Linked DNA regions of Schizosaccharomyces pombe. The protein of the gene in region 2 interacts with the protein of the main gene of each other region in a biochemical or structural test. Each region holds a gene or a part of one and is shown on either strand. Other genes may lie near its edges.

Region 1 (4,427 bases), 1.7 Mb from region 2:
AGAACACCAGCTTCTCCAATAATCCAAGGAAATCTCAAATAAAGAAGGATGGAGAGTACGTTTAAAGTAGTTGGAATGAAACAACCTTCAAACGTTCCCAATTTCACCGCTTCATTTGGTTGTTCATTCTCAGCAAACGTTACACTTCTAGACAACGGAGGTAATTCATTAAAACTATTACTACGATAACTTTGTTGTGGTTCTTGTAATAAAGGTGTGGAAGACTCTAAATTTTCCTGTGTTTCCCAAAATCGTCTGGATTTTCGTACTGATAATCTATCTGCCAAAAAATCAAATACTTGACTTGATTTAGTTAAAAGTCTTGCCATAATCACAAAAAATTATCCCCATTAAATATAAAATAAGGAAGGCAATAATTTTGTGGTAGGAACTGTCAAGGTTATTAAATACTAAAAAAATTGGAAATGGTAAGGAAGAGTGAGTGTAGTCATGTAATAGAAACAGGGGTCCCATAGATATAGTAAAACCATCAGCAGTGATATAAGAAAAATTTTTTGACAATACTTTGCAACAGATTACTATCAATTCATGAAAGTTCATTACCAGCTTGCTTGAAAACATCGATGCTCGAATACACTTACCTCAGTTAAAAATAGGACTACTGAACACTATGAGTGAAACGTTTTGTAGAAAGGGAGAAATTTTACTCAAATAAATGGCCATAAATCGAAAATCAATGATATCATAAAATGTTTACAATTACAATTGCAATTTGGGGACTAAACGGAAAAAATAAAGAAATATCTAAATATTAGTAATATAAGTAGTGTAAATTAAGGCCAATTACATTTCCACGTATTATAATGCCAATATTCACTTCATCAAAATCACTTCTTTGGAGATGCACTACGAAAACTTTGAAACACGTTTTTTTCTTTTGATTCACCTTTGGCCTTACTAGGAAAAGTAGGAAAAAATTTAGGATCCTTGGGTCTGGGAGATTCGTAAAAATAAGGATGTTCTAGTGCTTCTTTGGCAGATATTCTCTTCGCAGGATTTAGACTTAAAAGTCGATTTAATAAATCGTACGCGTTTCCCGTTAAATTAGGGATAGAAGTACGAATCTTAGAGTGGGTAGGGACCGTAGGGTGTTTAATTTTGTTTGCATAAGGAAGAAGAAAATATTGGGGCCACTCTTCCCTAGTCGGATAACCGAGCAAATTGAATATCTTAATATTATTGTTAGGAATTTTTTAAGGTAAGAATAAAAAATCAAAAATCGCATACCTTGTATAATTGATCTAACTCACTTTTCCCAGAAAACAAAGGAGTCCTAGTAATCATTTCAGCGAAGATACATCCAATGCTCCACATGTCAATTTCTTTACCATAGCTTGGTGCACCAAGCAAAAGTTCAGGAGCACGATACCAAAGAGTCACAACTAAGCGTGTCAAAGAGGATTTGGGTTCTGATACTGGCCTTGCCAATCCAAAGTCGGCGAGTTTGATTTCGCCGGTGTTATTCATTAGCAAGTTAGAAGGCTTTAAATCTCTATGTAGATACCAATGGTGATGCATAAATGCCGTGGCAGCCAAAAGTTGAAGCATCAGTGTTTTGACTTCAGATTGTAAGAAATCTTCGGGCATGTTATCAAGTAATGTTTTGAGATCATGTTCCATGAACTCCATAACTAGGTAAACATCCTTCAAATCTTTACCAACAACCACTTTTTCCAATTCTACAATATTATCATGTCGAATGCTGGATAGTGATTCAATTTCTCGCAGACTAGTAATAGGGAATCCAATTCCATTAGGGTCAAACTTAATCTTTTTGAGTGCAACCAGGGTATTCGTACTTTTGTCAAGACCTCGATAAACGATTCCGTAAGATCCCTCCTCAATTTTTTCCAATATTTCATAATCATCAATAGAATTGCAAGACTTAAGTTCAGGTGTATTCCCCATCAAGTAGAGCCTGCAAGCATCAATGTTTCTTTCTTCAGCTTTCTCTTCTTCCTCTAATATTTTTCTTTTTCTTTTTTTTTCTAACCGTCGCTTTTTACGCCATTCCTCTTCTAATTTTTGATTTTCAATTGCGAATTGATTCGTTTCTTCTGTCTCCCACTTGGAGCCTGCCATAATGGTGTCTAATCACTCAAATTTTATCAAGTAAATTTATCGTTAGATTTGCAAAACTATCTACTTCAAATAAGGATTTATTTTTCGGTGCTTGTTTGTTCTCAATTAAAATGACATTGCTCGATAACCACTGTGGGATTTCTAACTGAATATTAGCAGAAAAGTAAAATGATCAAAACTCCTATTTTTTTTTCAGCAAGCCGTTTCGACATGTGATATTTAAAAAAGTAAGAAGTGACCTGCGTAAGTGCAGTCGCACAGTGCATAGTGAGAGATTTTCAAAACACTAAAAAAGAAGAAGCAACCTTGAATTAAATAATCTTTAATTGTTTAATTTTGAACACTCAAAAAACACAATCCATCATATGGCGGCGGCCCTACTCACCTAACTCGTTCGTTCAATCTACCATTTTGATATTCCTACAATACCGAACAAGGAATTTCCACTACACCTAATCGACTAAGCAATTACACGACAGCACTATAGAAACTATAAGTACTATTAAAATCTCTAAATACATTTCTACAGTCGCTTTCTCGTACACTGAACTTTTGTTTCATATATGTCAATACCGAAGAATTATGAATAAGGGTTTACGAAAACACCAACGGTTGGCTCGTACACAGTATCAAACAATATTTATGATAAATCAATTGTATAGATACATAATGGAAAAAAGCCAAACAGCCAAACACATTTTAACGGTAAGACTTTTGTTGACGAGCACGGGCACCATGACCACCGAACTAAAAAAAATCATTAGTAACACATTCTAAAAAAAAGAAACAAATGTTATGTCGTATCGAGAGATACAGTATCATTAACATTCTGTACACGGAACAAGTTCGACAACACAATAAATCGTGCAAGAAATCGATTCCGAAGATGTCATGAACTTCTCTTCGTTTAGCACATACCTTCTTGGGCTCCATACGACGAGGATCAGCAACCAACAAAGTACGGTCATAAGTAATGAGAGCCTTCTTAAGCTCAGCCTTGGAGTGTTCATCAACGAACTTTTGGTAGTAAGCAACGATGGCCTTGGAGATGGCTTGACGAATGGCATAGATTTGAGAAACATGACCACCACCAGAGACACGGACACGAATGTCAACACCGGCAAACTTATCGGCACCAGCGACCAAGATAGGCTCGTAGACCTTCATGCGCAAAATTTCGGGTTGAACAAGAGAGAGAGGGGCACCGTTGACCTTGATCAAGCCCTTGCCGACCTTACAGTGGGCGACTGCTGTGGCATTGCCTTTCTTTCCAAAGCACTGAACAGACTGCATGTTGGCTCGTGGATAGTTTTACTGGGTTGTAGTCCTGAAAGCCAAAAAAGTTTCGGCATGGTTCCTGTTTGCAAAAACAGTCACACTGAATTAGCAAAAGTTATTTTGTTACGATAAAATATATTATACGAAGCACTAAACTAATAACGTAATGTAACGCACGATCTGCATAACGATCTGTGATAAAGTTCGAGGTGAAAAGTAGAATTCTACAGAATGCAGAACGCGTGAGGTATTCTTTAGCATTAAGTGTTAATGTAGAGACAGAAAGTATTGAAATTTTCGTAAGTCTATGAGAATTTACTGCTGGGTTGCTTTGTTACAAATTGAACTGTGAGGGAACGGGGAAATATTCTGTATGAAAACCGAAATGACACGAAATTGAGCATAACAGATTGCTTTCTTCATACTATATTTCCTTCCTAATGTCCGAACAAACAAGGCAAAATGATTAAAGTGCTGTGATTTGTGATACACCAAATTTTTGGTTTAGCTCACTGGACATTATTCAATAAGAATTATTAATCACAATTTATTTAATTAAGAACATGCAGTGAAATATAAGATTACGAATGGTTTTCAACGGTGTTTATAAATTTGTTTACATGTGAAAAGATTTAGAAAAAATGCAAATTAAACAAGCATCGAATTATGTCTGTGCATTTAAAAGGGCTATTCAATACACTTTTATATGAAAAATCTACCGTTGCAACAAATTATAATCTTGAGAACAAAGCTCTCCTTATACACCGATGACACTCCGTGATCGGACGAAAGAGTGAATTGATGAAGGACATATATCCCTTTCTAATTGGCAAAAATGATAGCTTTAAAATAGTCCAATTAAAACTCTGTAATATTATTGTAGACTTAAAGAGCATATGTCAATTCTTTAAAGGAACACAACTTGCAATTTCATTACACCAACACAGTGGCTCACAGGATACAAGACATGAAGTTCTAAATATTCAAACAATACAAATATACACAAATATAGTACTACGGAATACTTTTAGAAGAAAATTACAAAT
Region 2 (4,275 bases):
TTACAAAACTTGTATAGGTAATTAAAAACTTTTTGTTTATTATTTCTCACTTTTGTTTTTCTAGTAACTTGACAACTTGCTTCTCCCATATCGATGGAGCATGGTTGTGTACAATTGTAAAACGCGTTTCAAAGCTTTATGTAAAGCTCTCCCTTCAGCTAGATACATCTACACCTACTTTAGAAGATTCTTTTGATGGTAATGGGTTCATACAGAGGAAATACGTGAGCGATGCATCTAGGAACGTCTTACGAACGTTCAATAGTATACTGAGTGATCGTCAACAAAACATTAACCCTTCGAAGAAGGATGCGATATTCTGTATTGCCAATTTACTTTGTTTACTATATTTTCGCTTAAAGCAAATTCGTCTTTGCCAAACTATTCAAGCTAATGTCATCTCTTCGGGTGCCGATATTTCTCGCGCTACAATGGCGGAATTAGTAACGTTTCGTTATTATTTAGGAAGGTGTCATCTTTATCAACGCAAAATTCATCAGGCAAAGGACCATCTACTTTTTTCGTTTCTTCAGTGCCCTGATGAGTGTTATCATCAAAAAAGGTATGTTTTATTTTACTCAAAAATAGGATTCGTTTATATTTACTAATCAAAAAAGGCTTTCTCTAATCTATCTTACAACGTGTTTACTTATATTAGGAAAATCGCCAACAAAAGGGCTATTAGAAAAATACAAATTGACTGCAGCATTCGAACCTTTAATAAAAGCTTTGAAAAGTGGTGATATCAAGTCGTTCAGATTATCTTTGGAGGACAATTCCAGGAGGAAATGGTTTATCAAACGAGGAATATATCTAACTTTATTGGATAGATGTGAAATCATCCTGTGGAGGAATTTATTTAGAAAGGTGTACGTTTGAGATTTTTTAAAATATTCGACTAATTTAAAAAGGTTTCTTTTTACTTTTGAGCAAAGCCAAAAAACCCCGCACGTATCTGGTTCTTACTTGTTAACCGCGGCCCGTTTAAGTACAAATGATAACTCATATGACATGGACGATGTCGAATGTATCTGTGTTTCTCTAATTGACCAAGGATATATTAAAGGTTATATCATTCATGCATCATCAACTTTAGTCCTTAAAAAAGACCCATCGTTCGGTTTTTCTGTAATAGAGAGCCTTATGCCCATAGCAAGGAATGATCACGCAGAAAAGGAATTTTTTCATGCTAACGCATAATTAAATGAACTCAGAAAACGTAGATTGTTCGAAAATTATACTTAAAATTAATTAAATTTGAATTGACAAATGTTAAGCAAGGAACAGTGTTCAATCATCTTGCTTTGCGAAGTCTGAAAGCTAAATAAATACAGTCTAAACGGCAAAGCGTAATTTTATTCATTTTTAAAACAAAAGGGTATTTGGTCAAAGCAAAAAACTCTATAATTAGAAAAGTAAAATACCAGATATCACTTGACAAATAACACAATTTAGAATCAAAAATCTTCTTCCATTTCTGGATCAAAAAGATCAAATCCTGCAAAGACATCCTTATTAGCTGGCGATTCTACTTCTTTATTTTCCTCTTGCGTAGTGAATGTTGGAGAGGCAGGATAATTCATTTTAGTTTTTTCTTCAACGGCTTTGTTCGCATCAATTTCTGTTTCTGTTTCCGTTGGCTCGTTCGTCTTTGGAGGCTGTTCAGAAAATAATTGGGACGCTGTAGCCGATAAATTTGGAACCATGCTAGTTGAAAACTGAAACAACAGAGTTTTTCGCATCTGGTCCTCCGATGGCCAAGGATAATGCACAGGAGCTTTTGCATCTTGACCCGTCTCGGGATTGTACCCAGGAGGTGCAGAGGAAAACTTGGAAAGTTTTCTACCATAATCAAGGAGTGTTTCAGCATTAACTTTTTGTCGTTTTCTCCCCGACACTGTTTTTGGAAGATGGGTATCATAAATTGAGGTCATTTCTCTCATGCAGTCTTGAATTTGTAAATCCAGTTCCTTATCCTGCTTCAGCAAAGAACTAATTTCATTTTGTAATTCTCTACCATTTGTGTAATTTGATATTAAAGAGTGTAAGGTTTTCAAGTGGCCTACTAATGAGGTCCAGTTTTCTATTAGTACATATTGGTCAACCTTTTCGGATGACAGTCTTAACTGTTTATTGAGACATTCTTCAATAGAATCAATGGCTCTTTGATATTCCATTGGGGAGCATATGTGATTACTATATACTAACTACTCAACAATTGCTCGATCATCTAGTAGGTCAGGTTACAGTTATTTTGCAGACTCGACTTTTTACTCCTTAAACATCCGTAACCGTTAGTTAAACAGACATCCTTAAAAGGTTTAATGTGCTAAAACACGGTAAATTACAGTAATGTCCTCCTCCACAAGGGCAATAAGTAGCAGCTGGTATATACGCTCGACGAACAATACTTAAGTTACTCTCGATTAAATAGAATTAGTCAATTTAATTCTGTATATGATTTTAATTGTTTAAATTGTCTAACAAATTTCACTAATTTGGGCAAGAAGAAAGCTATTATTCGTATAAATTAGTCGACAAACTACGTTACATTTACAGTGTAACAATTTTGATCTTGTTAGGGACAACATAATGAATACATACTAGTGAATTAGATATCTCATTAAATTAAAAAAGCGAGTTCGTTAAAGAATGCTTAATGAGCTTATTTCGTTTAATGCGTATAAAGCCTATATCAGATCAGAAAATGTGTAATATTACTTTACCAAGAAATCGCTCAATTTAAATGTAATTTTTATAAAAGTATTTTAAACATATGTCACCTGTGGCTGAGTGAAAACCTATTCTGTCGATTTGCTTTTCCGAGACTAACTCAAAGTGGTCCGTCTATGTGGCTCAATACTGACTTATAAGAGTAGAGCAGAAAATACATTTCATATAAGTAAACTGAAGATACTTGATAATTGAAAATTCAATTGGACAACTTTAAAAAGATTTCTCGGTCAACTTTCTCCAAAGTACAGCTACTGTTAATATAGAGTTCGAAAAAATATGCAATATTGAACGTAAACTATTAAGCTAAATATTAATTTAGTAGGAACTTGCTACCAAAATATTAATATCACATAACTAAAAGATTTCGAAAACAACAATATATATTAAAAACTAATGTCTAAAGATAATGCCAAACAAACAAAGACTGAATGGATAGTAGATAGCAGCACGTTAAATGATAGTAGATGATAAATGCAAGGACAGGACATGACAACGATGTGTGAGATATAAATTAGTGTTATACAGCTAGAATAGATAAAATTTTTTTTTAACTTTGATATGGCTTTGCTTAACCGCAGTAAGAGCTATATTGTCTATCAGTGAAAGGTTGAGGGAATACGCCGTATTCAATAAGTAATCCCATATCCCAAGTAGGACTTGGTCCACCAGTTTTAGCAGTCCAGTAAATCCAACCAGCACCGCGTTCAAATTGATCTAACTGAGTTTCGATAAACAGACGAACAGCTCCCTTATATTCATCCGTCCAAGTGGAAATATCACCGCTGTTTGGTCCAATAAATGTCGAAGAGTCAACTCCTTCTTCGAAAATCGTGCAGTCTGCTAAAGTTCCGGACCATTCGCCAGTAACAGTAATGTAGGGAGAGGAAGCAATGGAATCACCAATGGAGCAAACATCTGAAAGATGATCATCGAGAGTCTTTGAGCACTCATCCGACTCGTAAAGTTGATAACGATGGACATCCATAACAAGATTGTATGAAGAAGGAGATACAACACCATAATCCCAAATAGAAAGATCAACATAGGCATCGTGAATGATAGTAGCAACAGAGCTGGAAAGAGGATTGACGATATTATAGGCATCTAAATCGTATTGCTTAAGTTGATCCATATCCAGACCATAGCCCAAAGGCTCATTTACCGTCTCAATTCCAATAACCACGCTGGCATATTGAGATTGGGTATACTTATTAGCAACATAGGTAATAATGTCAAGAGTACGAGTTACAGTGTCATTTTGCTGCCATCCAATGGAACCAGTCTTACCAGAGTTTTCAAATCCATTTTGGCTGCCTGGAACACCATGCAAGTCAATCCAAACCTTAAGGCCATATTGTTCAGCCCAAGTAAGAGCTTGATCGAGCCAGTACTCTTGCCCTTGAACATATGGTTCGCCGTCTACCACATTAAAGGCCCAATACCCAATAGGAATACGCAAAACATTAACACCCCAAGAAGCTATAGTAGCGAAATCAGATTCAGTGTAGAATGAGCTATAATGAGCAGCTAATTGAGAGG

The links.
Region 1: of the proteins of pmc4 (region 2) and cdk11, one has a biochemical effect on the other in vitro, tested with the Schizosaccharomyces pombe proteins (one study listed by BioGRID).

The regions. Positions count from the first base shown.
Region 1 is NC_003423.3:1,792,916-1,797,342, reverse strand, and holds cdk11 (Cdk11-cyclinL compex kinase subunit Cdk11), read right to left. Parts: upstream 2,363-4,427; 5' UTR 2,104-2,362; coding exon 1,249-2,103; intron 1,204-1,248; exon of another isoform or gene 1,191-1,203; coding exon 849-1,190; 3' UTR 664-848; downstream 1-663. Other genes in the region: vacuolar membrane cation-chloride cotransporter Vhc1, read right to left, coding at 1-329; rps1601 (40S ribosomal protein uS9), read right to left, coding at 2,803-2,850, 3,022-3,396.
Region 2 is NC_003423.3:3,515,391-3,519,665, reverse strand, and holds pmc4 (mediator complex subunit Med4), read right to left. Parts: upstream 2,206-4,275; 5' UTR 2,178-2,205; coding exon 1,458-2,177; 3' UTR 1,201-1,457; coding exon of another isoform or gene 912-1,200; 3' UTR 870-911; coding exon of another isoform or gene 618-869; 3' UTR 577-617; downstream 1-576. Other genes in the region: TREX/TREX2 complex subunit Pci2, read left to right, coding at 1-17, 65-562, 618-869, 912-1,200; cell wall glucan 1,6-beta-glucosidase Exg1, read right to left, coding at 3,305-4,275. UniProt on the Schizosaccharomyces pombe protein: Component of the Mediator complex, a coactivator involved in the regulated transcription of nearly all RNA polymerase II-dependent genes.